Linked DNA regions of Oryzias latipes. The main gene of each other region encodes a partner of the protein of the gene in region 2 in a complex. Links are inferred from orthologs where the notes say so. Each region holds a gene or a part of one and is shown on either strand. Other genes may lie near its edges.

Evidence for each region.
Region 1: nemf (region 2) and tcf25 share a complex: the UniProt entries of both Homo sapiens proteins name them as parts of the ribosome quality control complex. The link is inferred for Oryzias latipes from reciprocal best matches to the Homo sapiens genes NEMF and TCF25.

Annotation. Positions count from the first base shown.
Region 1 is NC_019861.2:22,091,517-22,107,751, forward strand, and holds the start of tcf25 (transcription factor 25), read left to right. Parts: upstream 1-7,453; 5' UTR 7,454-7,562; coding exon 7,563-7,787; intron 7,788-8,469; coding exon 8,470-8,613; intron 8,614-9,416; coding exon 9,417-9,482; intron 9,483-9,668; coding exon 9,669-9,790; intron 9,791-10,585; coding exon 10,586-10,651; intron 10,652-10,739; coding exon 10,740-10,822; intron 10,823-16,235. Other genes in the region: cytochrome b-245 light chain, read left to right, coding at 865-922, 1,128-1,197, 1,767-1,841, 1,943-2,026, 2,408-2,489, 2,786-2,977. UniProt on the Homo sapiens protein: Component of the ribosome quality control complex (RQC), a ribosome-associated complex that mediates ubiquitination and extraction of incompletely synthesized nascent chains for proteasomal degradation.
Region 2 is NC_019880.2:6,690,566-6,706,985, reverse strand, and holds the start of nemf (nuclear export mediator factor NEMF), read right to left. Parts: upstream 8,736-16,420; 5' UTR 8,611-8,735; coding exon 8,552-8,610; intron 8,448-8,551; coding exon 8,379-8,447; intron 7,816-8,378; coding exon 7,713-7,815; intron 6,998-7,712; coding exon 6,872-6,997; intron 6,747-6,871; coding exon 6,598-6,746; intron 6,487-6,597; coding exon 6,419-6,486; intron 5,367-6,418; coding exon 5,277-5,366; intron 5,198-5,276; coding exon 5,124-5,197; intron 5,050-5,123; coding exon 4,979-5,049; intron 3,778-4,978; coding exon 3,702-3,777; intron 3,626-3,701; coding exon 3,485-3,625; intron 3,401-3,484; coding exon 3,192-3,400; intron 3,110-3,191; coding exon 2,936-3,109; intron 2,488-2,935; coding exon 2,424-2,487; intron 2,320-2,423; coding exon 2,231-2,319; intron 2,146-2,230; coding exon 2,042-2,145; intron 1,966-2,041; coding exon 1,903-1,965; intron 1,819-1,902; coding exon 1,706-1,818; intron 1,100-1,705; coding exon 1,042-1,099; intron 612-1,041; and 6 more. Other genes in the region: mok (MAPK/MAK/MRK overlapping kinase), read left to right, coding at 8,948-9,131, 10,527-10,641, 12,501-12,590, 12,677-12,747, 12,844-12,922, 12,992-13,040, 13,118-13,296, 13,397-13,498 and 4 more. UniProt on the Homo sapiens protein: Key component of the ribosome quality control complex (RQC), a ribosome-associated complex that mediates the extraction of incompletely synthesized nascent chains from stalled ribosomes as well as their ubiquitin-mediated proteasomal degradation.

The DNA.
Region 1 (16,235 bases), on a different chromosome or scaffold from region 2:
AGGTAACATAACGGTGACACCAGGCAAGCAAAGCTAAAGTCTTTGTAGGGGAGTCCTAAGAAATAATAACCACTTAGTTCCTCGTGTGCAACAGTTGGTTTATTGTGCGCATGAGAAACCAGTACAATTTCTTTTACATCTATGTCCCTTTAGGGGCTCCGTAGTTTATGCCAGCATAGAAGCAAAATAAATCTTAATTTCCCCATGTAAACTGTACAGTGCGTCTTCTAAGTCACTTCAAATCACGAGTTTTTAGGTTCTATTCTAAATAAATGTTAAATGTGACAGCAGCTCTTGTGTCTTCTGATTTCTTACATCATTGTCAGTAAGCTTGTTCCTTTTACTCGCTGTTAGAAAGAGATGTTATAGTTGCATTGCCTTAAAGATCTTGTATTTGTCAATGACATTAAACCTGGGATAAATAGTTTGTAAAAAATATTTTAAACTTTATTCAATGTGGCCTTTATTGTCCGTTTCATTATGTGAGAGAATGACACACAAATCCAGATGAAGGCATCAGTTAACAAACAGGAAAAAGTTAGAAACTAAACGAAGCTATTGCTTCCTTGCCAGGAAGAAAAGGGTGAAACTTTATTTAATGATTAAGTGAAATTCCTCCCTGGCCTTGCTGCACCTGTCCGGTGGGTGTTGGCCCCGCCCTCCTCCCGGGAATCCCGCATATTTTCGGAAACGACGGGCGAGGCGGGGCTGCGTCCCGCCCGCCCCGCCCCGCCCCGCTCCTCCCAGCCGCACGTCTACGGGCTGCACCTCCTCTAAAGCGCGTCGTCTTCCTTGTGCAGGCTGCAGGGTCAGGTGTCGTCGCAGGTAGAGCGTCGTAGTCGCGTCGTTTTTGGGGTCAGCACCATGGGGAGAATAGAGTGGGCCATGTGGGCCAACGAACAGGCTCTGGCTGCAGGCCTCAGTGAGTATACAAAAGATTTTTTAAGTGTTAGTATTTGCTTTTTGTCAGGTCATGAAATAACTAGGACAATTAACACTAGAACAAATAGCTCCATTTCTGTATGGTAATTCCAGTTGCAGAAATAATGTTCATCTATAGAAAGTAAAGGTGGATTGTTGTCATTAATGCTGTTTTATTTTTTTACCTTCCTGTTTCCTTCTTGTAGTTCTTCTCGCCGGAGGAATTGTGGGAGTGGCGGGGCAGTTTAGAGGCTGGGAGTTTGCTTCTTATGCTATGTATCCTTTACCTTATTATAAGAAGTGTATTGGGATTTAGACTCTTTAATACAGTTTGCACTCTGGTTCATGAGAACCAAGTGGCGCATGCGCAGGGTTAACCTGGAGAGGTTTCCCCGAATTTTAATACCTGAAAGTGTAAAGCCTCATTCACCTTTTTTTTGAAGATAATGTATATCATCCCATCTGAATATTTCAATATTTGTTTTTATAGTCTAACTACATTGTTTTTTTTCTGTGTCTTAGACAGATGAGTATTAGTTCATAACACAACTTGTGTAGTATCCGGTACACACTTCCTTATTGTGCATGTTCAGTAAATGCAGGTTCCTCCATGAGGTTTTTTTTTCTTTTCCTGTTCATCTAAGTTAAGATTTGATTTTTTCACCCAAATGTTAAAAATCATCCATTTTATGTAACCATAAAGTCCAAAATCTGATAGATTAAATTAAAAAGTTTGTTTTGTTTGTCAATTTAGCACATTTTAGTCTTATATTAAGCACTATGTGTGTTTATGATGATGATGTTGAAGTGATAACAATAATTAAAATGCCTTGACTGAAATCAAGTGCTGCTGGGGTCTTTGTGTGCCTGCTCGAGTATCCCAGGAGCAAAAGGGCCAAGGGTACGAGTGTGGAAAGGACGTAAGTTTCCCTGTAGTCTTACCTTTATTACATATTTCATCATCAGCACGTATTTTCCTAACTATTATAAGGTTTTTTACTCACTACTCATTTTCTTTCAGGGGCCAGTACTGCTTCACAGTGTGTGTAAAAGCCTTCGGACCAGTAACAAGAAACTATTATGTCAGAGCGTTTCTGCATGCAGCGTAAGTAAGATTTGAATTCTAAATTTAGAAATTCATTTCAAGCAGTCAAAACAAGAAAAAGTAAAAAAGAAAAGAAACGTGAGAGAATAACATATATAGATTTATCAAACTTAAGATCATGAATCCTTATTTGATTGGAAAAATTTGAAGTAAAAGAGAAATATTTTCAGATACATATTTGATGAAAAACAGTTTAATTAATGTCTTGAAAAGAAGTTGAATAAAGTTGACTTTGTGGTTCTGAAACAATGCCACGCTTGAATAAGTGGACTGTTTTGTGTCAATCCTTCTTTTGCCAAACGGCATTCTTTCCACTCACTAACAATAGGCTTGTGCCATGACTGTGTTTGGTCTTAAACCCTTTTGTATTTCTCTTTACAGGCTTTGTGTACCTGGAGGTTTTATGCTTGCCACAGTTTTAGGATGTGTCTGTCTTGGCATTGCCAGTCTCATCTATCTGGCAGTAAGTTGTTCAAAGCTCACCAGTTGTCAAATTTGAAAAGTGTGTTGTAATGGCGGGAAGTGGTTAGTTTCTGGAAACAAGGAAACTGCAACTTAGAAGTTGTCCCATAGTGGTGTCTCTGTTGAAACATGACATACGTTATTGCAAAACATTAAACGAAGGTGTGACTGAATTCTCCATGAGTTTCAAAGGTTCAGATGTAACACGGTTTAAATTTAGGTTTATCTCCAATTTTGAGTAAACAACATAGTCACTATCCTTTTGTGGCAAAGCATTGACATTCTCCTGCTATCTAGGCAGCTGTCCGAGGTGAACACTGGGAACCAATTCTTCCTCGCAAAGATACTCGGAAACCTGTTGCTGAAAGCATCAAAAGTCCTCCTCAGAACCCACCACCACGACCTCCTCCAGAGATACGCCGGAAGCAAGCCAAGGATGTGGAGGGAGCTGCCTATGACAATCCCATGTCTGTGACAGATGACGAGTAACTGGACCCCCCTCACAGAATGGTGGAGGAACGGTTCGCTCAAGTTAGTGACCCTGGAGAAATACAAGAAGCTGAGATCAAAGAAAAAAGTTGATATGATCAAAAAGTTGATATGATCAAAAATATACCACATACGGTAGATGTAAATGCTGTAGCTGCTAGTTTGAAAATGTAAATATACTGTTGTCAGTTTTAAGTACTGTATGTGTTAGTGTTTACTGTTTGGAAAAATATTCAAAAGGTCCAAGTCAATATCTGTTTCCTGTTCCAGCGATCATAACTTTTATAAAAGTTTTTATATTTTATAAAAGTGATCTAGAAAAATGTGTATTTACTTGTTTCTGGAGTTTTTGAAAGCAGCTAAATGCAGGTTGTGATTAAAGAATGAAAAAGTACAGATTGATGAGATGATCTGTGTTTTTGGGTGCATCATGGCGATAAAGCAATTCATGTTGTCTCATACTTCTGTGGTGATTTCTTGCTTTCTTTTAATTGTTATCTGTCATCTGTTTTTGCTTTTGTGTTTTTGTTCCTGTGGAAAATATTCAAAGCAGGGGCATTTGCAACTTCTCGCTTTTACAAGCCCAATATTTCGACACGTAGCACTTCCCCTGTTTTTCCATTGTTTCTTTGTAGTACATAGTTGTAACATTGCTGTTCACTGTTTTTTTAACGCATTGTTCAAACAGGTTCTACGTGATAGTATTTTTCTTTAATTTTCTCTTCTCTTTACTTCTGGAGTCAGAACAGTTACTGTCTATTTGTAAACCAAAGTATCATAATCGTGCTTCCTCTTTTTAGTCTAAACCGCAACACCCAGGTGCAGATTGAATCTTTATTCATGCAATGATTCTTGCTTGGAGAAATGTAGTAATCAAAGATCACGCACTTTGTTGAGAATAAAAAACAGAAATGTTTATTTAGGAGAAGAGCCACACAGAAAACCAGTCAGCTGAGTGAGTGTGTCAGAATTTCTTCCCAAAGTTCATGATACTTATACTTTTGAAACCCCAACAACTGCTTTAAAGTTTGCACATAAACTGCAAAAACAAGACAAGACCTGGTTTTTACAGATACATGTAAGTATTTAATGAAGACTTTGAAATGGAAGAGTATGAATAAAGAACAGATTGACCTCAGATCACAATGTAACTGAAACTGGTTGAAATCAAAAGTTGAAAATTTGCCCTCCATCTTCTGGAAAATACTTCTAATTTTGTCTATATAATACTAATAAATGACACCTAAAATAATCATTTCCCCTCGCTGGTTTGGGGTGTCCAAACTGAAGATGTATGAGGGCCAACCAATCGGCTCGCATTCTTTGAACTCTTATAAAAGCATTAAATGTAAATGAACTATATGATGCCATTTTTTTGCAATGGCATATTTTTCCTTTTTCCACATTGAATGGATGTTTGTTCACCTTTCAACACATCCCTTCAGGGGTTGCCACAGCAAATCAGCTTTCACTGAGTTTCATGCTGGAGGCCCTTCCTCACACAACCCTGTATTTTATCCAGGCTTTGGACCAGGGGGACCCAGACTTGGGGTCACTTGCAGCTACATTGTTAACATTTTTTTAACCTAAATTATAGTGGATTTTGTGTCCTCTTGTTTGGTTATTAAGGTTCTGAAGGCAAAGTAGCCACAGGTTGTCACAACAGGTTTATAATGGCTAAGAATGGAATTTAGCCAGCCACAATCAAGAAATTGTACACACACTTTTTAGAAAGTGCTGGGGCCACATGTTATTATTTTTATGACAGGAGCCCGTGAGAGGTGGGAATTTGAATGGAGGCTGCTTTTTGCCCACAGGCCGGACTTTGGACATGCTTCGTTTAAACCAATGATTCTGCCTTCTTGCCAAAGTAATGTGTAGCCATGAAATAATTGTCAACCTTTTCAGGTTTAATACTAATATATCATAACATATTTGAGATGAGATGATATTAGTTACCTTTGTCATAATCAGCATGTGGGAAAAGATGAACAATTGGCAGAACAGCTCATTTTAAAAGGCCATGTGATCATGATTTTAATCCTCATAAATGTGATTTTTCCTCTTAAAGACTTGAAAACAATTTAGCCTGTATCTTTAAGTAACAACTGAAGATGTATTTTTTTTATATGAAATATCTTTTCAATTTGTTTTTGGAACCAAAGTTGAAGATAAGTTACCTGGCATGTGATGTTTTTGCTCTATTTATTCTTTCAAATGTAAACGCTAGAGGGCGGAAGATTGCTCAGATGTTTTTCGACATTTAATCAAAGAAGACGAGCAAACCAATAGTATAAAGCATTTAGGTAGGAAAATGAAGTTGAAATTATTGGACATGTATAATAGAATCTGGTGTGAAGGTAAATTGCCGACAAATTGGAAAGAGGCTGTTGTTATTCCTATATTAAAACCTGGGAAAGATCCGAGCAGCCCAGAAAATTACAGCCCCAGCCCTCACATCACATGTTGGTAAAATAATGGAAAAAATGATAAATGAGAGATTGTATTATTACCTGGAGAGAAAAAATTTGTTGTCCCAATATCAGAACGGTTTTAGGAAAGGTCGAGGGACAATGGACCCTGTCGTCTGCCTAGAAGCAGACATCAGGAAAGCCCAAGTAGATAAAGCATATTTGGTGGCAGTATTTTTTTTATATAAAAAGGCTTATGATATGGTCTGGAAAGAGGGTTCATTGATAAAATTAGGTAGGTTAGGACTTCATGGAAGAATTTATAATTGGATTAAGGGGTTTTTTATTTGATAAATATGTTCAAGTTAGAATAGGAAAGTCTTTTTCTAATAGATACGTCGTGGATAATGTAACCCCACAAGGAAGTGTGATTAGCCCTGTGTTGTTTTCAATTATGATTAATGATATCTTTAGTTCCATTGGATGCGAATTTGGGAAAGCATTGTGTGCAGATGATGGAGCCTTGTGGAAGAGGGGACGGAATATTCGTTATGTGGAGAGAAAGACACAAGACGCTATTACGGAGGTGGAAAACTGGTCATACAATTGGGGATTCAAATTTTCAGTGGCTAAAACAAAATGCATGGTTTTTACTAGAAAACGTGAAACTGTTTTGAACTTAAAACTATATGGAAAAGTAATGGAGCAAGTACATAGTTTTAGGCATCTGGGAGTTATATTTGATAAAAAGTTGAAATGGAAAGAGAATATTGATAGTAGGGAGATGTAACAAAGTCATAAATAAAATGAGATGCTTGAAAGGCACTGGGTGGGGAGCTAGTGCACAGGCTTTAAAACAAAAATATGTTACAATGATTAGGTCAGTCACAGCTTATGGAATTATTGTTTACAATACAGCTTGCAAAACGTAGTTACATAAGATAGAGGTCATCCAAAATCAGGCGTTGAGAATATGTACTGGGGCTATGAGGTCAACTCCTGCTGTGTCATTACAAGTTGAAATGGGGGACCTACCATTGAATCTCAGAATTAAACAACTGCTGCTTAATTATTGGGTGTAAATACAGGGTTGTGTAGATGTAGAACATATGGTTAAGAGAGGTATTGCTCCTTGTTGGGAAAGTGGTAGTGGGACAAACAAAAGTGTTGCTTGGAAATTAGCTAGATTAACCAGAGAAACAAACATTCATGGTAAAACCCTAGTTAAGACGTTTTTGTACCCAGCCACTCCTTTCTGGGTTTTTCCAACCGTACAAGTGGATTTGTATCTCCACAGGAAGATGGAGGGTAGCAAAGGGAAGAGAAACTGGGATGAAATAACAACAGACTGGTTAGACACAGTCCATGCTTTATTTATTCCCATATATACAGACGGATCTAAAGACCTAGGCACAATGAGAACTGGTTTTTGTTTCTGTATCCCTACATTGGGAAAATATGTTGGAATTAAGACGTCAAAGGAACTTTCAGTTTTTGCAGTTGAAATGTTGGCAATATCATATAGTTTAGACTGGTTTGAACACAATAAAATTGGAGATGGTATAATTTGTTCAGACTCTTCAGACTCTTTGTCACCTTTGATGTCTCTAAAGTCTTATTCTTCTGATAGCAGATCAGATAAATTGTATGAAATTGGAAAAGGTTGGGAAAATTGAAAATAAGCATCAGATTTATGTGGGTACCAGCACATGGGGGGTGGAGGGAAATGAAATGGCTGATTTTCTGGCAAAAAGGGCGTTGAAATGGGGTATAGAGATGAAATTTCCCCTTTCCCGCACTCACACAAACCAGTTGGGTGTCTCCCTATCAGATGCAATGTATTATTTAAACCAGTGTGTCCCATTCTCAACCGTGAAATTATGCCGAGATCTCTGGCGTTTACCCTGACATTCATACCTCTCCCTACTTTTTCTTGAATGCTAAATTTAGGGGTGTTTTTTTTGTTTTGTTTTTTGTCAGGTAGTCCCCACTCTGACCCACACTCCAACACAGTAGGTGGCGGTAATGCACCTTCACGTTGGTGCCTCCCGCCAACAAAACCACAAGAAGAAGAAGAAGAAACCAATAGTATTCATCAGGTTATGGGTGTGCTATATGTCAGAAGAAAACTCGATCAAACAGTGAAAAATTGTGTGACCCATTTACTGTGAACTATGTCCACCCGGGCTCTGCGGAGACTGAAAGGAAAACAGAGGGGTCAGGAGGCCTTGGACCTCGGAGAACTAACTTTGGGTGAAAGCCCAGAGGAGCAGGCTGATGAAGCCGAGGAAGAGCACTTTAACCCTGCTGACGCGTCTCCCTCTTCAGACAACACAGGCAGCACCCGAAAGGGAAAGAAAAACAAAGCTCAGAAAAACTTCACAAACATCTATGAACTGGTAAGGTTCCGAATATTTGACTAAACACGACCCTTTCTTTGACACGGTGACGCGCATTTCTTCCTGACAGCTGCTTGCACCGTCTACATTTAGCTAACATGCTAACACAAGCTAACCAAATAATGCTAGCTTCTTCTTCTTTACCATCTGATTGAACCAATGGAGGTTTAGTTAAAAACGTTAACCTTAATTAACCTCGTTCTAAAATCGCTTACATTTATAAATATATATGTTGTTGCCGAATAAAACGTAGATTTTTACTGTTGTCAGACTGAGGAAATTGTGTCAAATCTGGGTAACCTACTTACTACACACATTACATGGATAATAGGATTATTGTCTCATAATTATTACCTTAAATATTCTAATACATTTTTAAAATGAAGTAATATTTAAGTGTTCAAATTAATTCTAAAAGACACTTATTTTGCATTTCTAAGCCTAAGAAAGTGCTTAACCAAAACAAAACTGCAATGCTCCCTTTTTATTTGTGTCTTGTACACATACCTATTTTGAATACTATATAATAAATAATTTTCTATGATTACTGTCACATTTTGTTCGTTTAATATTAGGTAGTTGCTGATCTTTTAGCTCTTCTGGTGCTGTTTATGTGCTTAAATAATTATTTTTTTTCAAAAAATGTTTTACATTTATTCTATAAAAATTTTTTTTTTTATAGATTGGTGATCCAGACTATGAAGGGGAGAAAGTTTCTGCTGATGAAGAGGCTGACAAACCAGACAAAAATGTAACAGGTGGCACTGGAATAAATGATAAACAAACCGAGAACCAGGTTCAAATGTGTGACGGAGTGTCCTCTAAGGTAAAATAAAAAGACCCACAACGTCTTTCGGTAATGTTCGGAGCCCGTGACCTGACATGGGTAAAAAAAATAATTAATTAGCTCCCACGAAATAATAATTGTGATAAGTCATTCATAAACACTGATGTCAGCGATACTTGGAATTACAGCATATACCTTCATAATTCTGTCTGTGTTTATCTCATGACAATGCATGGAAGACACGGAGGATGTTTAGAGGTTGGATTTATTTATTTTAAAAAGCTCTACAAAAGCATCGGTAATCACGTCTCCATGTCTGGGTTCATTCACAGTCTCTACCGGTACGCACTCCACCCTGCCGCATAAGCCGTTTTTCTACACTACTTCTGTGTCTCTGTGACCCACATTAATTCAAGAGGGGAAAAGTAAAAACAAGAGTCAAACTAGGGGATCTATTTATTATTGTCTCGATGAATATAAGAAAACTATCCTACGATTTTAGGAGCCCCAAGCTTGCTGCTTCCCCATACCGCAGTACCTGTCTGTCTGTCTGCGCGAGGTGATCCCTATAGTCAATAGAAACATCAATGATGCAGTGGCAAAATATGTCTTATTATTGCTGTAAACCAGTCATCTTATTTACAATAATGATGTAACCTTAGGCATTTCAGTTTATTTACGGTTGAAAATACGGGGTGTTTAAAAAGTCACAATTATTTTGTGGGAACGAATTAGTATTTTTTTTACCCATGTCAGGTCATGCGCTCAGTAGTAACGTTTTTCTGTCTTCACAAACAGTTTTTTGGGAAGTTGGATTGTTTCATTAATTCTTTCTGTAATAGTCTGCAGACCGAGTTAAAAAGAAGAAGAAAAAGAAGAAGACAAAAGTTGCATCAAAAGATGGAGAAGTAAATGGGTTCCATTTATTTTTTTCTTCCCAAATGGCTGTAAAACTATTAACATTTTGTCACCAGACTCAGTTTTACTCAAAGTTTAATTATTTATTATCATTACACATAATAACTGCATTTAGGTCATATGCTGAGCCTCATAGCTTCTTTTTGCAAGCAAACAACTACGTTCTAAACTTTTAGGAAGCTTCCTCGGATAACATTGATTTACTTCTGGAGAACTTGGAGCAGTCCAATGGCGTGAGCTTACAAAATGAAGATTGCGGCGGTTTTGATCGAAGATCAATGCTACATGTGGAGCACAGGTAAGGTCACCGTTTCCACTGAGACGAAAATGAGACTTTTGCTGAATTGGGAAAATAGTCACATTCTCAGAAATATTGAATTGCACTAACGGAGAAATGTATTGCATAGAATTTAGGTTGTCTTGTTTTTAACCCCCATCTGCAAATTCAGCAGCATAATTATCATTTTAGTAATACCTAAAGCCTCCTACCACACGTTTTTCACAGGTTATGTTTATTGATAAACAAACATATTTAATGAGGACTTGGAACTAGAAGTAACCCAGTCAGTAAAGGTGGTTTGATGTCTTCTTAACCTCTTAAACTTAAACTTAAAACTCCTTATCCATTATCCCTCAGTCAATTAAGTCCTCATTTAAATTCTATTTAACTGTATCGTTTCATTATTTATGTATTATTTTTATCTGAATATTGTGTGAAAGACTCACAAAAGCCAAACCTCTACCCAAGAAAAAAGATAGAACTTTTATTCAATTATGGTTATTACAACAACAGTCTACTTACATTCTCTGTAAATAAATAACTTAAACATGAGGGAAATGGAATAAATGTAAGTCACCTTTAGGTTTGATGAAGCAGGAACAGGAATATCCTTCTAAATTTTAAATGCATTTGCCGAATACATTTCTGTTATCTTCTTTTCTACTTGTTGAAATATTTCCAACCACACGGAGAGCTAAAGTAGCTATTTTCTCCAGAAAACAGAGGAAAAGTGGTTCATTACATGTGTTTGATCAGTAGCCAGAATGGTACGCAATTAAAATCTAAATCTGAATGTGATATTTCTGTGTCCAGAAATCTGAACCCAGAGACTGAGCTGAAGAGATATTTTGGGGCTCGAGCCGTCTTAGGGGATCTAAGGTGAGTGGAGAAAAAAAATATGTATACATATAAAACATTTTGAATTTTGAAAACTAATATCAAATATTTTTGTCATTTTTCTCCAAAGACCTCGACAGAGAAACAGGCACTTTCACCGTAGTACGTGGATGACCAGTCCAAAGGACAGCTGGCCTCGTTTCGCTCGCCCAGGTCTGTTTTTTAGGATATAAATACTGTTAAAAAAGCTGATTTCTTGTCAGTTTTATTCAATCATTCTTGGACATTAAAATGCTACATAAACTAATAAATATATAAAATATAAAAATAATATGCGTCAACCTGAACCAACATTTTTAAAACTGCTGTTTTTTGACTAATGTTGCCGTAAAACACAACTTCAGCTAATAGTTGATAAGCGTCTCATAATAAACGATTTTGTGTACCGTATTTTCCGGACTATAAGTCGCCCTTTTTTTTCATAGTTTGGCAAGGGGTGCGACTTATACTCCGCAGCGACTTATATTAGAAATAAATCGAAACTACCTTGCCTTTGTCCCTTATGGGCAAGGTAGCCACGGTTAAAATGAAAATCTTACCCAAAGTTAATTATCTCTTCTCAATGATTCCCACACAACCGCCATTAAAATGGTTCAAAACATTAGACTCATCCATATCAAGCTTTCTATGGAACAATAAACCTGCAAGAGTTAGTCTAAAAACTTTAAAATCTGCAAAAAGCTGTGGAGGATTAGAATTACCTAACTTCCACAATTACTTTCTTGCAAATAGATTACAATACATCTTAAAATGGTTAAAAAATAATCCAGAAACCAACTCATGGTTAGACTTGGAACAGGCGTTATGTGGAAAGATCAACCTGTCAGATCTTCCATTTATTAGTCAAATAGTTAAAAGACAGGATTGTTTCAAAAGTATTAATATAAATGCCACTTTAACAGCCTGGTGGGAATTTCTCAAAATATCAAAATCATCAATTCAACCGTGCAAAATGACACCCATCTGGAACAACCCAGACATCCTCATAAACAAAAAAATTATCCACTTCCCAGCTTGGCAAGCAGGGGGCATAAAACAACTAGAGCACATAATTATTAATAGAAGATTCATAACTCCCCAGGAACTTCAAGACAAACACGGAATATATAACTTCTTGGAATATCAGCAACTTAAATCAATTATTACTAAAAAGTTTAAATACAGAGACAACGATTTAAAGCTACCAGATGTAGTTACCACTCTGATCAATTTCTCAATGAATAAAACTCTCTCCAAAATATACAAACTTTTATGTAATTTAGATAACAATATTTCACTTCCGACAACAAAATGGGATGCGGATTTGAGCATCAGCACAGATGAAAGTTTTTGGTCAGAACTTTGTCTAAACACCTTTAAAATGACAAAAAATCCAAATCTGCAGCTAATCCATTTCAAAACTCTTCACAGAATTTACTACACTGGACAGAGGATGTTCAAGATGGGTCTCAGTAACTCAGACATTTGTCAGCACTGTGACAGTAATCTACCCGACAATTACATGCATGCACTATGGTTCTGCACGCCTGTCCAGGCTCTCTGGCAGCAGGTATGTGCCGATCTATCAGTCTGGCTTAAGGTTTCAATCACAGCTTCACCGTCACTTTGTGTGCTTGGTGACATGAGTGCCATCGATGTAGAAGGAGGATTAGGCTCTATCATTTTCATAACTCTTTGCATTGCTAAAAAAACTATTTTAATAAATTGGAAAAGCAAAAAAAATATAAATATAAGTCAACACAGAAATCTGCTGCTTGATCATATCAGCTTGGAAAAAATGTCAGCCCAAAGTTCAAGTAACTTTGAAAGAATTCGGTCTCTCTGGTCTCCCATAGCTAACTCCGTGACTTAGGGGGTGGGGGGGGCATGGTCGTCGCTGCTCCTTGCCCTTCTGCCGTGGGCCGGGGTGGGGGTCGGGGCCTCCGGTGCCTGGCCGGGGGTGGTGGGGGCTCCGTTGGTCGGGGGGTCGGGTCCGGCGCCTGGGTGGGGCGGCCTGGGGCGCTGCGTGGTCCTCTGGGCTTGGGTGTGGGGGTGCGTGGTGGGGGGGGTGGTGGTCTGGCTTGGCTTGGGGGGGTGGTCCCTTTGCCTGTGCTGGGGGGGGTTGGCGGGGGGCGCTGCTCCGGGGGGGGGGGCCCAGCGGCGCCGGATGGGCTTCCCGTCTACGCCTGGGGCTGGGATCGGCCCTTCCCTGGCTCTGGGGCGGGACGGGACAACCCTCTTGGGGCCCCCGGTCGCTCTGGGTGTCATCCGCTTCGGCTGCGGGGTCTGGGGGTGGGGTGGGGTGGGGGTCTTGTCGGCCCTGTCCTGTGGGGGGGCATTCTGGGGGAGGGAGGGGGGGCACTATTGGTACGGGGCAGGGGGGGTTGACGGGTCGGGGTCTCCGCTGAGGCCATCGGCGGTTTCCCCGGCCGGTTGGCTGCCTCGGTCCCGTCGAGGCCTGACCAGAGCTCTTCTAGGGCCGGCGTTTGGGGGTGGGGGCCTGGGCTTGCTCCGGGGGGGGCCGGCGCTTTCTGGCTCCCCTCTCTCTGTGTGGGGGTGGTGGTGCTGGGCCTGGGGTGTCTGCGCCTCCGGGGGTGGGGCCCCGGGGCTGGGTGGGCCTGGCCCCCTTGCTGGGGGGGGGGCGGGGGACGGCTGTTTGACCACCGGGGGACAGTCTATCATCTGTCCCCAACTTACCCCCTTCCTCATATAACCTCATAATAGGGTGAGGGGGTGGGGGGCTTAGCCTGCGATGAGCCTTGGGGGGGGGGTTTACTAGGCAGTGACCCCCCTCCTGTGGTTGCCGTATGGAGTGGGCCCCCCCTCTTTCGGTTTTATTTGCACCTTAGACATGTAGGGCCCTTGGTAGGGGGGGTGCTTGGACATCACTGCCAGCAAGCAGCGGATGTCCTCCTAGCACCCTACCCGCCAATTTTAACCGCACCTTAGACATTTAGGGCCCCTTGGTGGGGAGGGTGAGGGGACGTCACTGTGAGTAATCAGGAGACGTCCCCTTAGTGCCCTACCCGCCAATTTTAACCGCACTCCCCTTAGTACACACACCCCTCCCCCCTCAATATATACATCCCAACATAAACACACACACATGCACACACACACTCTCTCAAACACACATACACGCACACACATTTTGCAAGGAAGGTGGGACCTAGGACCATCTGTCCCCTGCCTCTTCCCTGGTGGGGGGTACGGGCCCCTTTGCAACGGCGGCTGTGTCCCCGGGGTGCCGGCTTCCTGGGCCCGGCGGTGCTCTCTCCGCGCGGTGGGGGGGTTCACATTACATCTGAGCCGGGGGTGTTCGTGTCCCTGGGGGGTGGGTTCTGGTCCTTGCTCCTGAGTGCTGGGCCCCGCCAAATTTCCAACTGTGGCCGAGCCTGGTCGGGCCATATTTACAACACCCCTTGTGGGCCCTCTTTTTTCCCCGGGGTTCCCCCCTTCTGGGCGGGGGCGGCGGGCCCCTGCCTCGCTCCTCCCTGGACCAACCGTGGGCCGGGCGGATGGCTGAATGGAGTGCGGAGTGGGTCTCCCTTGGGGGGTCCTGGCTCGTACCTGGGGTTGGGGCGGGGGGATGCCCGGAACTCCTGGGTGGTGGTGGGGTGCTCGTCTGGGGCTGTGGGCGTCCTTCTCCGGTGGGGCCCTGCGTTGGGTTCTCCCGGCGCGGCGGGGGGGCTAATCTCCTGGTTGGGCTGGGGCGGCGCCCTCTTTCCCTCCGTGCCTCCCTGCTCTCTGGCTCTGGGGGCCTTGCGGCGGCCCTGCTGGCCCTGGCCTGGGTGGCGGGCTTGGTCGCCCGGGCGGCCGTTGTTCCCTGCCGGTTCCCGTGTGGCGTTGGGGGGATTCCGGCTGCCGCTGCTGGTGCGGTGGGGGTCTTGGGGTGGGGATGGCTGGGCACTCTCCATCCTTCTTTTCACGTTCCACCATCCATTTTAGAAGAACATAAACACTCACCTGAGCACAGGTGTTAGCTCAACAGACTGAATGACTGAAATATTTCACACTAGTTGGTTTTAAGGCATAAGTATGCGTGTGAACACTATCTGTTTTGTGTACATGTCGACAGGTGGACATTTTTGCAACTAACAGGTGTGTTTATAACATTTGAGTGTGTGTGTGGACAGGCTCCGCCCTTTTTTTTTGTTTTTTTTTTACATTTGAACCTTACCATAATGATTAACAACCAGTAAACTTGCTGCTTTATGCTGCTTCATGGTCTTATCCCCCTTCCCCTCCTATTATCACCCCCTACCCCCCCTCTAACGTCCCTCTCTCTTCTTCCCCTCTTTCCTTTTCCGTCCGGTCCAACACCAAAGATTTTCAGACATGTTTGAAATTAATAAAGTTTGGCCTCAATTACAAAAGGGGTTTATTCAGACATACCTTTGGTTTGTCTGAAGATTAATAACCCCTCTTGTTAAAGTAAAATATGTCCAACCCAAGAGGCCCTCAGCTCTCATCTGTCTGCCTAGCTGTTGGACAGGACAAGTTAAAAAAAAAAAAAAAAAAAAAAAAAAAGAAAGAAAGAAATAAATCGAAATAAATACATTGTTAACCCTCCTGTTATATGTTCATTTGTGAGGAACAGAGATGATGTTCCTGGGTCAATTTAATGTATGAGGTATGTTAAGTGTTAGGAGTATGTTAAGTGACTCAGAGAATCAACAAACTTTTTTTTTACAGTAAGATCTTGAAGGCTAACAACATAATATTCTATTTTCCAATGATTTCATAGATTCAGAAATGCAATAAAAGTGAAAACTGTTTCTACAAATACAGGATGAAAACAGAGTATTAGTTGGCCGATGATGCTTCATGAAAAGAATAAATAAATAAGTTTGAGAAAAAATTACTGTGAAATTATTAGATAAACAGTCTGCTTTGATTGTGTCATATAAGGTTGTGAAAGTTAAAATGCGACTTATAGTCCAGTGCGACTTATCTGTGTTTTTTTCTACTTTATAATGCCTTTTTGGGCTGGTGCGACTTATACTCCGGTGCGACTTATAGTCCGGAAAATACGGTAATTTCATGACATGTTAGATTGCTACATATCCAGTAAGAGTTTTTAATTCTACTTGTATTCAGGAAAATAATAATTACTAAATCAAGAAATAATTATATTCCTTGATTTAGACACCTGGAATAGTTTGAACTGGTATGCACAATATAGTTGTATTGATTTTTTTTTTCCAAAATTGTTCATTTATGTGTTAAACTTTAGCTTTTAAAAAGATTGACAAACTGTTACACAGCAGTCTCATGTCCATATCTGTGGACTTTTCATGCATTAGTAAATGAAATGGTGAGTGAACAGAAACAAAATGATGTTAAAAGTACCGGTACACAGAAACCAGTCTGACACATAATCACTGAATAGGATCAACAAACGAATTGGAGCAGACAACCACTCAACCTTTGAAAACATGCAGGCAGTGCTTCTGCTGACACAACCAGGATTTAGTTTGTTTTCAGAAACTGGTCAGAGACTTTAGATTGTTGAAGAGAAGATTCTCTTTCCCAGAAAGGGCAATTTGGGCAAAAGAGGTTTCTTGTTTCTCCTGTAAGAAACAAA
Region 2 (16,420 bases):
TCCTTCACCTTCAAGGTGACATCTTTACCTGCTGGGCTGTAAATGAGAGAGGGAAATGGTTGTATCTGGAAAGTGGACCTCTTCCCTTTCTTCTTTTTCTTCATCTGTGTTGCTCTCCTCCGACTCCATCGCTCCCGTGTCTGCAGCAGGCTCCTCACATTTCTCCTCTTCTTCTCCTTCCACTGTAATCTTTGCTTTTGTCTCGTTTTCCTCTTCCGGTGTCTGACCGTCTCCTGCTTTTTCTTCAGTCGCATCCTCACTGCTGCTATCGTCTCCTACTGGGACAACAGAGACGGTCTTCTTTTTTCGGCTCTTCTCGGACACTAAACCCAAGCGTTTAGCCGTTTTACCCATCAGCTCCTCTCCTTCCTCTAAAAGCTCGGCCGTTCTCGACGTGACGTCGTCCATCTCCTCTTCGACGCTTTTCACCTTCCGCTCGCCTCTGTGACGGAACACACTCTGCTCCTCTACCTGTAAAAAAACACAAGAGAGATTGAAAACAAAACAAAAAACTTTGGATCATTACACATTTCAGATGTGCTCACAGCAAACCTTAAAAAGGAACCCAAAGCCCATGATCAGGTAGGACGGGGGCAGAAAGTTTTTCTTCCCTAGAGAGTTAAAAAAAGAACTTTAATCCACGAACAGGAGATCAATTCCAATGAAAATTGTGGTTTGAACATGTTCTTGTGGCATTTTTCTGATGAGGGAGGACATATATGAACACAAATAAGCCGGAAATTGAATTTACAAGTATTTCTTTAATCAAATCGGGAGCAGACAGGAAAAAAAAAGGATTGCATTTGTTACGTTGCTCTGAGCTCTCAGAAACAGGGAGAGGAATTTCTAATGAACTACTGCCGCTCTGCAGAAACTATGTTCTAGAAAAGAACACAAGTTTGGGGATTTTTGCTTAAAAACAACATCATCATAATGAAAAGACCAGTTGGAATGGTTGGAAAAAAAAACAAAAGATGCTTGGAGCTGGTCTTAAAAATGTGTGGTTGCATTTTATTAACAATGAAAGCTGGTTTATTGTACCTCGAATCATGAAACTTCCAGTGGTCAGATACTCTCCAGTGGGGGCGGTTTTGGATACCTAAAAAAATACACAACATTTTCAGTTAAAGATATTTTTAAAAAAAAACAGGATTTCCTCTTTACAACAGACTTTTTTGGGTCAGTTTCCGGACTCAGAAGCCGAACAATTGATCACATGTAGAGCAAAGTAAAGTTTCTCTAAAATCTGGATTTGATTTGTAAAGATCCCAGCGTTTCAAACAAGAATTAACATATTTCAATTCAAATGTAATATAAACTAATAATTAGATGAACTTTTAATTACCGGTAGTTCATAACTTCCTACACATGAAAAATGATTATGAGTTTTTGTTTTGAGCATAAATTAATCAAAAATGCAGAATCTCAGCAGCATCAGTAAAGCTAAAATATGGTATCATCTGCGTAAACAGATTTGACAATTATTTAAGATAATTTTAATGAGAATAAGGATTTGGTCTTTTTTTGAGAGAGATCTTTAAAAAATTAAATAAACAAAGTTTGATATTTTATGCATAATAAATAGAATGGGAATCTAAAGGTAATTTAAAAAATTTCATTTTTAAACAAACAAACTTCATATGTTTAGATTTGGGTTTTTTAAATGAATTATTCTGATGTTTCACGTCATCTCTAAGGGCCTCACCTGATGATGGTGAACCCACCAAGCGCTGGTGATTATTTTGGCGTCCCAGGCGGCGCTGTAGCACACGGCCATAGTGCCAGCTTCTGTCAGAGTACGAGGGGGAATGGGGTCCCCTATAAAAAAATTTAAAAAAAAAAAGAGGCCAGGGTGACTTAGTTTGACCAAATGCAGCCAAGCCTGTTTAAACAGCTGTTTACCTGAAGGGTTTTTGATAACACAACTGGTTGCTCCATGCAGATCAGCGTGAACGTAGATATCTCCTGACGAGGCAAACGCACAACAGATAAATGAAACAGCTTTTTAAGAGTTCAATGATTCAACAGAAGCTGGTCATACCTGCTCGAAGGTAACGTTTAACGATAATCTCGTTCTGCTGCTGGTCTCTTCCTGCGATGACCAGATAATTCTCAGCGCTGATGAACCAAAGGAACTTCTCAAACCTGCCAAAAGAAGGAGGAAAGTAAAAAAAAAACAGCTCAGAATAACTGATGGAGAGGCTCTACAACAACCGTGTCTGTTTCTTACCAGTACACCTTCCTGGCTTTTTGAATTGTGGTCACCGTTTGGACTTCTTTCAGAGTTTTCTGTGTTTTCTTCTCTGCAGATTTCATAGCCTGAAACAGAAAAGCTTCCATTTATGAACAAAAATCTAATAAATCACATTATTTATGAAAGACAGCAGTTTGGGCTTAAACATGGATGAAAATATCTTCATCACCTTATCAGCAGCTTCGAGGGTTTTCTGTTGCTTCTTTTCTGCAGAGCGCTTGTGGTCATAGTATCTAAAAACAGCATCATTGCAAGCTTGAACATATTAGTGTGACAAAAAAATAAAACATCAGATCCATTACAGGCTTTTATTTTAAGGAGCATGAAAAATCAAAGCAGAAAGGCTGGACGTATTTTCACATAAAAGCAAAAGAAAAACAAAAATGTATGAATATTTTTAATTATAAAATAAACAACATGATATAAACATAGGGTTTTAGAAAAAAAATACTAAGTCCTTAAAAAAAAAAAAAAGTTTTTGCAATGGATTCTTAGGCTCTAATTAAAAGTTAAAAATGTACATTAGTTAAGGAAATTTAAATTCGATACGAACAAACAAAAAAATAAATTCACAGATGCATAATATAAATAAATCTTTGCATATAAAATGTGAAGGTTGGAAAAGCTGCACAGAACTTCACAGTAAATCACAGATTTCCCTTCACTGCACGTTAAACTTACTTTTTGGCGTTGGCGTAAGCCGACAGGCCCAGATCCACATCCACTAACATGGGCTTGTTCCGCTGCAGCTTCTTCTTCTGACCTTTGTCCCGGTTCTTGTTTTTCTTCCCTTTCTCTTCCACTGCGTCCTTCATCTCCTCGTCTTCCTGCTCCTCCTCAGAAATGTAAGGATTCCTGGGAGCAAAAGGCAAACCAGGGCAGTGGTGCGAATGCCACTTCCATCTGACGCCTCTTTCTTTAAAAAGCAGCCTCTTACTTTAGAAGCATGGTGATGTGATTGCTGTGCAGCTTCAGCTCCTTGATGGCGCACGCCACTGGGTCCCCGGCGGCCTGCGCTTCCTTTACAATATGGCCAATTTCCGCCCAGTCCACCTGGTTGGCCAGCGCGCTGCGGACTACCTGCAGCGCCCTCTCTACCACAGCCAGATTTATCTCCACAAGCTCCCCCTTTAGTCTGTCGACCTCCTGCGACGCACAGCAGGAGTCCTGTTAGTCTGACAAACGAGAGTGTGGAAGTGCTGCAGCGAAGAAAGCGGCGTGGTTGCTAACCTGTGCTTGGTGCAAAGCTTCCAGCCTTTGTTCGTGGTCCTTCTTCACATTTTCGAGCTTCTTCAAGGCTTGCTTCTCCTGCTGCAAGGCCTTCATGTCAATCTTCTGACCCTCCATCTTTGAAAAGAACTCATCCACCGCCTGCATAAATAAATAGCAATCCTGCAATGTGGATTTCTCCCCCAAAAAAACATCAGTAAGATGCCTTTAGAGTTACCTTGTTAAAAGAATCCAACTCCAAAAATGGGCTTTTTGCATGCTGGACAAAGAGGAATGGATGAAACTCATCATATCTGTTGGAAGACATCAAAGAAATGAAGCCAGAAAATTTGAATTTGGAGAAAGTCCTTAAGCAAGACTTCTTCTTTCTCTTTCGGCTTTTCCCATCAGGGGTCGCCACAGCGAATCATCCTTTTCCACCTCACTCTATCATGAACATCTTCTACCCTAACATTAGCCAACTTCATGTCCTCTGTTAAGACATCCATATATCTCCTCTTTGGCCGTCCTCTTGCCCTCCTGCCAGGCACCTCCATCTCCAACATCCTTTTACCAATATATCCACTATCCCTCCTCTGAACATGTCCAAACCATCTCAGTCTGGCTTCTCTGACTTTGTCGCTAACACAGGCAACATGAGCCGTCCCTCTGATGTACTCGTTCCTTATCCTGTCTAACCTGGTCACTCCTAAGGAGAACCTCAACATCTTCATCTCTGCTACCTCCATCTCAGCCTCTTGTCTCTGTCTCACTGCTACCATCTCTAACCCATAGAGCAGAGCTGGTCTCACCACTGTCTTGTACACCTTTCCTTTGAGTCTTGCTGACACTCTTCTGTCACACAACACTCCTGACACTTTCCTCCAACCGCTCCAACCTGCCTGCACTCGCCTCTTCACCTCTTTTCCACACTCCCCATCACACTGAACTGTTGACCCCAAGTATTTAAACTCCTGCACCTTCTTCACCTCAGCCCCCTGTAACATAACGCTTCTACCTTGATCCCTCTCGTTCAGACACATGTATTCTGTCTTACTACGACTGACCTTCATGCCTCTTCTTTCCAGAGCAAACCTCCACCTCTCTAGCTGTTCCTCCACCTGCTCTCTACTCTCACTGCAAATTACAATGTCATCCGCAAACATCATTGTCCAGGGAGATTCCTGTCTTACCTCGTCTGTCAGCCTGTCCATCAGCATAGCAAACAAAAAAGGACTCAAAGCTGATCCTTGGTGTAGTCCCACCTCCACCTTGAACTCCTCTGTCTGACCTACAGCACATCTCACCACCGTCATACTTCTCTCATACATGTCCTGAACTACTCTGACATACTTCTCTGCCACTCCAGACGACCTCATACAGTACCACAGCTCCTCCCTCGGCACCCTGTCATACGCCTTCTCTAAATCTACGAACACACAATGCAGCTCCTTCTGACCTTCTCTGTACTTTTCCATCAACATTCTCAAAGCAAAGTCCTTAAGCAAGACATACGTGAGTAATTCCTCTGCAGGTTTCCCTGGAGCTACGCTTGGTTTCTTTTCGCTCTTTTGAATGATGAAGCCCTAAATACAACAAAAGAAATGATGAATGCAGCAGAGGTCAAACAGAATGTGACACACAAGAATTCTTCATTTACTTTGCCGTTAAAGTTCTCCGTTTTTTCCATGTAACTTTCTGCGATCTGCAGCGCTTCCCGGATTTTAGGGGCAACTAAAAGACAAATGTTGTCAATAGAATATTTTTAAACTAAACTTTTAAATGAAAGGGGAAAAGTGATGCAGTGTTTCACCTTCAGCAGCGTTTTCTTGACTGTCGACTTTAATGGAGCCCGGCAGTCCAGCTTCTATGAAACTGTGTTCTATCAGAGTGGCTCCGTAAGCTGAAGACATTTTTAAAAGGAGACACATTTTGTTTTTACCTTTTTACACAATAAAATGACTACAATTAAAGTAATTTAAAAAATACTTCTAAGTAGTGGTCATTACTTCGTTTGCTTCAAACCTTACAAGTCTGACTAACCTGCGAGTGAATCAAACATATATGACATATATAATAGATGTAAATTTCTTCAAATCTCTCAGGAAATAAGTGACGAATTTTATAGGAACACCCTAAATCAGATCTGCTGTCTCTCTCTGCATTCTCCTAGCATTTTTACTTTATTCAGGTGTTTTTTGGTGAATTTTTCACATTTCTGGTCATTGTCTAAAACTTATAAATTACCGTAATTTCATCAGCATAAGCCCAACAAGTTGCTGCCTTTACTTTTTATGAAAATTATAAATGAACCATCATATTTGCTTTTATGGTTCAAACCAACAGCCTCAACTAGTAAGATGTTACTTTACAATGATTTATTTGATTATAAAATGCTGGTTTTAGCTTCTTAGAATTTTTGATTAAAACACTTTACCTTTTTTTGTTTTTAAGAATAGTATGAGTATTTTATAGAGAAGTAAAGAACATCCAGAAATGTATTATTTTAGATATTTAATACTCAGTTTTTTATTCTTGTATTTCTTGAAGAAATAAGACTAAAACTTTATTGGTAGCTCAACTGGCTACAGAAGGTGCAGCAAGAAGGACGAAGAATCCCAAGTTCTATTTAAACTGGATGAGTTATTAGGATTACTTTAAGATAAGTCGCATTTATTAAACCTGAGAGGCTTTTGATGCCCCTGATCTTTAAAATTGTTTTTCCTTATTTGCATCTAGTATGATCAATATAAAATTGGTGATTGTCCCACATTACAAACATTCTTTCTTTTTTTTGAGAAAAGCAATAAACTACTCTGTTTATGGCATTGCGTTACAGGGACATGGAGTTCTACCTCGTATGTTAAGCACCTGAAAAACTAGGGATGTATTCTCACGATTCTGCTAAAGACATGAAACCACAGGTTGAACGACGCTGGCTTCACGGATACTTACAAAGGTGAGGATTCAAGATTCTTTTCACTTGCTCTCCTTTTGGTGCTTTGCTCAGTATTTCAGTAAGTCTGGAGATAAAAAGAAAAAAAACTCATTTTCAGCCAGGAGAAACGTCCACTAGGTTATAAAGAATGCACATTATTATCAACAGTTTAAAGCAAATGTAAAGGTGTGGTTACTGCTCCAGGCTGATGAGAGGTTCAGGGGATCTGGCATTCTCCACCGGGTAGCGTTCTCTCACGGCGATCTTCACATCCTCTGCTTCTGCGTTGCGAAACCTCAGCAGGTTTAAAATCGTGTATTCGTGATCTGCAAGGATGATGTTACCCTGAAAACAATCACATGCAGGATTATAGTTTGAACGAATATTACTATTATCTAATCAGAACTGGATGTGACAACAAAAAAGTAGTGTTATTGTGTGTTTAATTGAAGTAGGTGCAATTCTCTGACCCGGTCATACAGTTCAACAATCAAGTGGTAGGCAGCCTCGTCTGAGCCAAACTGCATGTCAACAATCCTGTCAATGCCAAGCTGCTTTATGTGGGTCAGTCTGCGCGTCTTCAGGTGTTTTCGACACTGTGGAAACACATTAGTGCAAGTTAAAAAAAAAAACGAAAAAAAGCCATGTCTATTAATCTGTAGAAAAGGATTATTAAAGAGCCACGCTGAAGAAAGTTGTGTTTTTGGAGTTTTCTGAGGATTGAGGACATATATTAAAAAGGTTTAAATTGCACTTCTGAGTATTTCTTTATTCAAACTGTTGTGAATCAGGAGCAGAAGTTAGAAAAAGGGCTAATTTGTCACATAAAAAATACACTGGGGAGGCCACAAGCTCCCTGCTCTGCTCCATTCTGATGCATAGACTTGTAGACGACTAGATCCACGTACTTCTTTGCTTTCCTCGTCCAAGCTGGTATTTGGCTCAAAACTGTACAGTAGGATAGCTCCAATATTGCTCGGCATTTTTGTTGCACCGCTAATGTTAGGTCGAAAAGCAGGAGAGTGTAAACAAAGAGCTCTCAGCAACTGGGAGAGGATGGGGCGGCATGGTTCCTCTGTGGCAGCAGTTCCACCTACAACTTTGAGGCGAGTTTCTAATGAAATACTGCCGTTCTGCGCAAACTTTTTTTTAACATTTAGACTAAAACCAGGATAATTATAGTTAAAAGACCACTGGGAACGCTTTAAAAACAGATTCAAAGACGATCAGAGTAATGAGTGTACCTGGACTGTTATACATAGTTAATACCTAAAGAAAGAAAAAAATTCTGATTTTAATTCAGTTTCTTACTTTCATTGCAAATCCCGAAGGCATCATGTTCTTGGGCCATTCGAAGTCTGTGGAATGAATACGGATGCCAGACTCAACCAGCAGAACAGCTTTGCTATCAGGCCTGAGAAGACAACACAACAAAAAGTAGTCTATCGATATGAACTACAAGTAAATACAAGTTAAGTCTATACTTAAAGTGAGCCACTATATTTGCCGTTGTAAACTTAAAATGTTCCAGTTTAGTCTAAAAACACATTTCCTATAATTCCTACACTACACACACATTTTCTAGTATATTTGCTATACTTATACTAAAATTTACTTTTTTTTTTAACTTTGAGTGGACTACTTTTTGCTTAGGGCTGAGCACTATAACCAGAATTATTATCCTTCTGTTTCTAAACGAAGCTTAACTTTCTATCATTATTTCCATGTAAATCAACAGTATTTGTATTGAATTCTAAATTTGATCCAATTTCAATGGGAAGGATAACCACAATTGCAGAAATAACGGTTTTAAATTAAACTTGTTCTTAACCAACAGTTAACCTGAATTAAAATAATTAAACCCGCTGTGTTCTGCGCTAAAATGTGTTACGTTATATTAATCACTCATAATTAAAAACGTAAATAGTTATGGATCAGCAAGTTTTAAACAATCCTTTGCTTACAAACCGTCCTTACTTCTGCAAACGGATGAGATATGTCTTATTGTCGATGTCATACACGTTGTAGACTCTCATTCCGACGTAGCTGCGGAGGGGGGAAGAAACACCCAGACAACCTGTTAAATATGTGCAACCAAACAGCTCGAAGCTAAGATAGCATTAGCTTAGCATGAGACCTGTGTCACCTACTTTGCATTGATCTCGGCAATAGCTGCCCTGATATCCACGGTGGTGAACCGAGTTTTCATGTTGACTTAACTTCCAGCTACAAAGCCCGTAAACTGTAGAATATGATCACATTATCAAAGCAAAACCGCCAATGAAAACAGTATCGAAAAAGAACAACACGCAGGAGTAACCTTTGAGCATGCGCACTTGAGGCTTCAGTACGGAAGCCGTTAGGTGACAAAAGGAACACCGTCCACGCCTTTTACACAGCAGCTGACCACCAATTCGTCGTGTGTGATTTAATTATGTCTGGCAATGCTATTAATGCGCGTGTTTAGATGTTTTTCTCCTCTGAGATTTTTCTGTCTGCATTTCTAAGCTCATGTTCAGATTTGTTGCAGTTTACGTGCACCAAAGATGCACTACTCAAACTGGCTCATTGACATAAAGAACAAGGCAAGCCTTCGAAATGAGTACCAAACATCTTTCAGCGCCAACTGGAATCATAGACGGGATTCCGCAGACATGGAGAACAGTAGCAAGAAGAAGCCCAACGAAAGAACATCCGAGCTTGCGATCCCCAATCACCTCTGGAAGAGGGGTGAGTATCGGGGGGGAAATGGGCCTGGTGGGAATAAACCTATTTTTCCTACACAGCAGGGCGTGTTGTGTTTATTTGTTTATTTATTTGTAAAGTCTGAAAATGCGTTGAGTTGTGGAAACGCGGTGGGTTTGCAGCAGGCTTCCTCTCTGGGTCAGAGAGGAGGGCGAAGGCGTGCTCTGTTGCCAAGGCGACGGTCAGCCAACAGGACGTGAACCAGCAGGGTTAGGGTGGCTCGAGCGCGATGATTGCCGCGACCTCTAACTGGGAAAATGCATCATTTTTATTCTTTCAATGGATATTTGACTGACGTGCGCAGAAGGAGATTAAAGGAAATGCATCGTAAGTGGAATTTGAAACAAAGGAAAAAACGGAAAGGGGAGGAGAAACGGCTGTCGATGCCCTTTCACCCTCCCATCCACTCAAGAATTAACTACCTCAACTAGTAGGGGGTGAGAACGATTCATTTTAACGAATCAACTCATATCAGAATTTGTGGATGACGATCCGATTCACAGTCAATGTTGGTTCATTTTGAACGATCTGATTTAATCCGATTAAATGTTAATTTCCACATAAAAAGAATACAAACTGAAAATTTAAACATTATACCACATTACAGGGGGGGGGGGGGGGGGGTACCAAGGGAGGAACATGTGGCCCTTCAGCAGAAAGCTTTGCCCACTGCAATTTTTGAGTGGATTTTGGTCAATTATTTATTATAATTTTGAGTCAATTATTGACAAAGATTAAGAAATCCTCAATGCAAGCTTTTTTTAAGCATTGGTAATATCTCTTCAGCTACAAGAACTTCTATTTTAATCTTACCGTCTGCAGACCCGAGACAATATTTGAGCTGACCCTCTACACACATAGTCCCATGGCCTCAGATAAGCAGAAATACCTGCTGTGGTAATACAACCCAAAATGTGCCACTGCCACTCTGAATGGTCGCATGTCTTTGCAAAATCAAAGGGTTTCCACACATTGGACTGGAATGATGGCTTGATCATTTCCGGCTGCCATCACATGTGTGTTGTCCACTGTGATGACACTTGGTTAAAGTTAAAAAACGATGTCTTAATCTAAAAGGTATTTTCCAATATCGATTACAATCAATTTATTTCCATTTGAAATGATTACATAATGATATAGGTTAATTCAATTATCAACTTGCCTCAGAGAGATCGGTCCGGTTGGATTGTGGGAATATAAATTGATTCATTGATTATCATTAGATTTTTCAATGATTTTCCTATTTTGTGTTGTTACCAAAACTAATGTAAACAATTGACTCCCTTTGATTGTGATCATTGAAATCCATAAACACTAAAACGACCTGAATGTTTTGATTTCATTTGAGCATCTTTTGTTGTGTTTTTCTGTTTCTTGCAGGTTACAAAGTCATCAAGAAGATTGGAGAAGGTGCATTTTCAGAGGTGGTGAAAACTCAGAGCCTAAAAGATGGAAAGTTTTATGCCTGTAAAACAATGAAGCAGACAATAAAAAGGTATGGCTTAAATGCCAGGCATGTCCAAAGCCGGGACCCTGGGAAAAAATATATTTAGACGTGTTCCTGTTTTATGTGAAGAGATGAAAAGTATCCCCATTGCAATAGAATTTTAATAAAATACTTAATTTGTATTTAATGTTAGCAAATGCAGGTTCTAAGAATCCAGGCTGATGGGTTGACCCTCACACTTTTTCACTAAGTCAGATCTGACCTTTTTTGCAAAAAAGTTCGGACGCCACTGCCAAATGTTTTTATCATTTAAACCCCTTTGTAAAGATCTAGATGTTTCTTCTCACATCTAATTGGAACTTAAATTTACTTTCTTTAAAAAAGAAATTTGAATCAAACTTGACTTCTATTTACCACAAATGTCTATTTAAAATAACCTGCATTTAACAGAAATAAATAAGAAAAAAAAATGCTCCCTTAATTAGTTCTCCAGTGTAGTGTGAGAATATTTTTTCATAAAGTCATGTTTTTTATAAACAAATAAAATCTCAAATTAACACTCCATTCCACCACTATTACAATGATCATGACAGTCCTTTAGCCTGCTATGATCATTATTTCTATATCACGTTGAAAAGACATACTGGTATGATGTGTCCAAATTCTTTCACTACGCACTATATAGTGCACTATATAGTGCGATCGCCAATTTGTAGTGCTGTCCGAATCTACAATTCCAAAATCCAGTGACCTACAAATTTCCCAGAAGTCCCTGCGAAAAACCAGTGATCCTTGCTTGATGCTCACTAGATTGGCGAATACAGAGCACAATGCATTGCATCTGAACAGTTTTTGCTAAGAAAATGTATTTTAATGTATTTTTTTAAATTGTTTTCCTCTTCAGAACTCAGTGGATTCATAAATGGTCGTTGCAAGTCGCTTATATCAATGAGGTTTTAACTTTGTGAAATCGATAACGTCATATAGGCCGTTAAAAAAAAAAACACACACACAAAAAGAAAAGTAATAAAACAAAAAACAGAGAGCATGGTGTCTGAATTGCTTAATATCCAGGACACTACACAGTCCCACACTATATAGTATTTTAGTAGTTAGGGAGTTGGATGGGAATTCAGACATAGTATCTGGGAGAATAGGTCAAAACAATCAAGGACACTAAAGAAAAACTATAATATTTGACTGTAACAGAACCTTTATAACGTCATTCATTTTGTTTCATATTTTAATTTTCATTATATCAGGCCTTTTTTTTTCAATTTATGGCAACATCTGTAACTTTCTTCTTGTCATTTTTGGGTTTAGAATGAAGGTATTTCTGAGTTTTAGTTTAAAAACGCACATTTAAAGTTAGGGTCTTGTTGGTCTATAGGTTTGTTTGCTTTTTAACTACGTTCTGTTATGGCATTTTATTTAAACATTTAATGAGCAATGGGAGGATAGTCCCTTGGGATGCCACACTTCCTCCTGCTAAATTTATAACAAAAGATGACAAAGTAAAATGAATTAACAAACAAAAAACTCATTAAGTGTATGACCAACAAAAACAGCTCTCAATTTTACAAAACATATTTAATTAAGACACAGAACAAAACTGCTGTTTAAAGACACTTAGAAGGAAAATAGAAAGAAAAAAATCCATTCAGATCATTTAAGGTCATGGAAACAAAAACAGGTCGGTAGTATAGTTTTGAAAGAGCTCTCCTAAATAAAGTGAAGGATGTAAAGAGAGCAAAAAGAAGTTGGAAGCTTATTTAATTCTTTTGGAGCTAAAACGCAAGAGAATTTCTGTGAAATCTGGGTATGTGAAAAAATAAATGTGATCAGTATTTCAGTCAAAATGACCGCCTTGGTAGAACTATAAGGAGAATAAATAATGTTTTTTTAAGTTTGGAACAGGCCAACAAACTTCAAGAAGTCCAGGCGATGAAGAGACTCAGCCCTCATGCAAACATCATTCAACTGCATGAACTCATTTTGTGAGTGCACTTCATGATGTCCTACTTCACACCCACGCCAGCTGTTCGGATCATTAGACCTGATTTCAAATATTCCAATGTTTTAGCGACAAAGTGACGGGAACGGTATCCCTCGTCTGTGAGCTGATGGAGATGAACATCTATGAGTTCCTACAAAGTAAGTCTGCTTTACTGGAAATTAAACATGTTTCCATGATAGGATTTATGGGAATAAAAAAAAATGCTAATGGACGTTTCCTGCTTTTTCCTGCAGAAAGGAAAAAGCCTCTACCTGACCATATGGTCAAAAACTACATGTACCAATTGTGCAAGTCACTTCAACATATGCACAGGTATGAATGAATACATTTAAAAGGCAGAATAGAGAAATAGAGACTTTTCAATGCCTTTTTCTCTTACAGTTGTGGGATCTTTCACAGAGATGTAAAGCCAGAGAATATCCTCATTAAGGTAATATTCACCTGAATCAAATCCTTTTTTTATTTTTTTATTTCGAGGGCCTTTAACATTCCCAACTCAATTTGCAGCAAAATGATTTAAAGCTTGCCGACTTTGGCTCGTGTCGGAGTGTTTACTCCAAGCCGCCGCACACAGAGTACATCTCCACGCGCTGGTACCGAGCGCCCGAGTGCCTCCTAACGGACGGGTATTACAACCTGAAGATGGACATCTGGAGCGCCGGTTGTGTCTTCTTTGAGATTATGAGGTACTGCTTCCAAAAACGGACTTTTATTTAAATAAGTCAATCCTCCAAAGTCGTTCTGACAAATATTTTCAAATGCTGAAAATTTGTTTTTTTCTTTCAGTTTGAAGCCTCTCTTCCCTGGAGCGAATGAGTTGGACCAGGTTGCCAAGATCCACAATGTGCTGGGAACTCCAGATCAAAGTCTCCTCCAAAAGTTTAAGCAGTTGGTGTTCCTTCTGTTATGCTGCATTGCTACAATGTAGTTCATGACATTTTTACATACATCTGTGCAAAAACACCCCATTATTCATGTGCCTCAATGTGTGGCAGGACTCGAGCGATGCCCTTCAACTTCCCCCCGATGAAGGGCACGGGCATCTCTCGTCTGATCCCCAACTGCCCGGCTCCCGCTCTGTCCCTGCTTTATCAGATGCTGGCATACGATCCGGACGAGCGCATCTCTGCAGAAACGGCCCTGAGGCACACCTACTTCAGAGAGATCAGGTGAAACGTTTTAAGAAAGGAATCTGAACTGGATGACAAAAATCCCTTGTGTTGCCGAACTTCAAAATATAAACAGAACCACGTAGAATGTGCTATAATCAAAGCATGTTTAATGCCTTGAATCCAGGATGACAGAGAAGAAATCCGAGACTTCTCATTTCCTTTTTGGAACTCTGGATGCAGCGGGAAACAGATTAACGCAGCAATCGCTTGAGAAAATCTGGCGGCCGAGCAGCTTTGGTAAACAACTGAAAGGAAGACACATGAGACAGACGCCGTTAACAACTGTAAGTATGTGCTGTCGACGCCCACTTTTGGATTGGCGTAAATGCAAAGTGTCCCTAACACGTTTGGTGTGTTTTTAGCACAACATGAAGCACAAAACAGACCCGCTTATTAGACACAACACTCCTCATTACCTACCGCCGTTGTCCAAGATGAAAAAGGTCGTTTCAGGACCGCAGAGGTCGTTCAGAGTCTCCCCTCCGCCAGCTTTCACCTCCGATAACAGGGAAGTGCTGCCTCCCATCTTGGCAAAAAAGTGTCTGCCACACCTGGTTAAGGTAAATATGACAGGAAGAAGAACTGCCATCTTTACACAAACCAGTCAGATCTACCAGTAGTTGATATAATTGTGTGAATTTGACTAATTCTTTTTTGACGCTTCGGTCCCATTTTTGTTTTCACAGCATCCGAATGGTTCCCAACAGTCCGGTCCCAAGACCTGCTTACCCCCCCTGAACAGCAAAAACAAGGACACCTAAGGGCAAAACCTGAGACGGGGCAGAGCTGGAACTCTACGACATGCTTGAGAAAGAAAATGCAATAAAGACAGAAAAAACAAACATCAAATTTGTCACGTTACTAGAAATGCAAAGGCCTTTGCTAACAATAGTCTTTGCTGTCATTTGGGTTGTGTTGGCTGTGTCTTCCATCTGCATAGGTTTGTTTTTAATGATTATTTTAGACACTTAATTCCTTCACACAAGACAAAGTATGTGGCGAGCAACATTCAAATTATCAACTAAATTCTTGGAGGTGCTGAGTGTTTCTATGATAAACTTACCTCCACAACTTCTGAAATCAACAGATGATGAATCCAACAGAAAAGTCCTGGATTGAATTTAAATGTTTCAAAATGTAAAAGGAAATTCTAAAAATGGAGAAAAGTACTGAAACATTTAAAAAGAGAACTGACAGAGAAGGGTTACGTCAATTTAAACTACAAAAAAAAAAAAAAAAAAACTATAGCATTGCCTACAAAATAAGACACATATTAGTAAAAATAAAAATATCCTTAATAATCGGTTACAAAAAGTCCAACCGACATTTAGCAATAACCAGTTCTAGAACACATTGTCTATTTTTGACACATTTATGTCCCAGTCAGTTTAACCCTGATATTTTCTAATGACAGATGTCCTTTTCATTCCATTAATTACATTTTAGCAAGTCCTAGACTAAAATGTTGGGACAAAAAAAGTTTAATATTAAATAGGAATATGACAAGTTTGTTCAAAAACAGAGACATTAAATGCAAAAACATGTTATGAAAAACATTGTCAAACCAAAACATGCAGTAAACATGCTTTGCTGTCAAATATCAAATCTAAACTGACATATTTGTGAATTAATTTAGCAATTAAAAAAAAGAAGTCAATTTCCTTTAAATGCAGAAATATAAGAACTATTGAGAAATTAGGAAAAGTGCAGCATGTTTTTGAAAGGTGTGAATGCAGAAAGAAAGAGCCCAAAACGATGTATTCAAGATTATTTTAATATTATTAATATGTATATTTTAGGCTTTAGAAATATAACTATCAATGACAAAACTTCCACTGGAGTAATGGTAGTTTGCTTAGGCCCCATCAAATCAATTAATTACAATATACACATTATGATACAGAGCACATTTGAATCTGAAATAATATTAAAATAAATGCTCAATAGATAAAGGTTTTAATTTCTCTGTTTTTTTTTTAACTTCTTTTCTATTTTCTCCACATACTGTCAGCCATCTGAATTCAGAGCACACCCAAAAATGTAAAGCCATTTTCTTCTTAGAAACTAATTTAAGTGCAAACCTCTTTTTTTTTCTATTTTCTTTTAAAAAGACTATGATTGCAGCATCCAGCTCTATAGATTCAGGTTTAAAGACCGAGGAGGGCAAAGCCAGGTGCAACAAGGCAATCCTCAGCCCACTTATTCTTTTTGTTTGTTTTGTCCCATTAGAGTAGTTATAAAACAACAAACAGCTAACAAAATCAGTGCAAAGTTATCAATGGGGAGATTCTACTTGAGGAAGGTCAGAAGTAGTGGGAGAATGGAGATGGATGCAACCGTCTTCAGAAGCACTTGGTCGGAAAAGGATAGTCGTTTCAAAATGTAACTGTAGTCGGGGAGCCTGGATCTCAACAAAGGGATAAAGGGAATGCTGGGTAGAAAAACACAACTATCCTTTCAGTTTCAAGCCACAATCTGGATTGCATCCAAACAGCCAAGTCTTAGTTTCCAGATCCAAAAAAAAAAAACAGTCTGATGAGATCTGACAGAACAAAGTTTAAAAGGAAAAGAGATCTTAAAATGTGTTAAAACTCCACAGTACAGTCAGTAATTGCACCGTGACTTCTGTCGTTCCTCC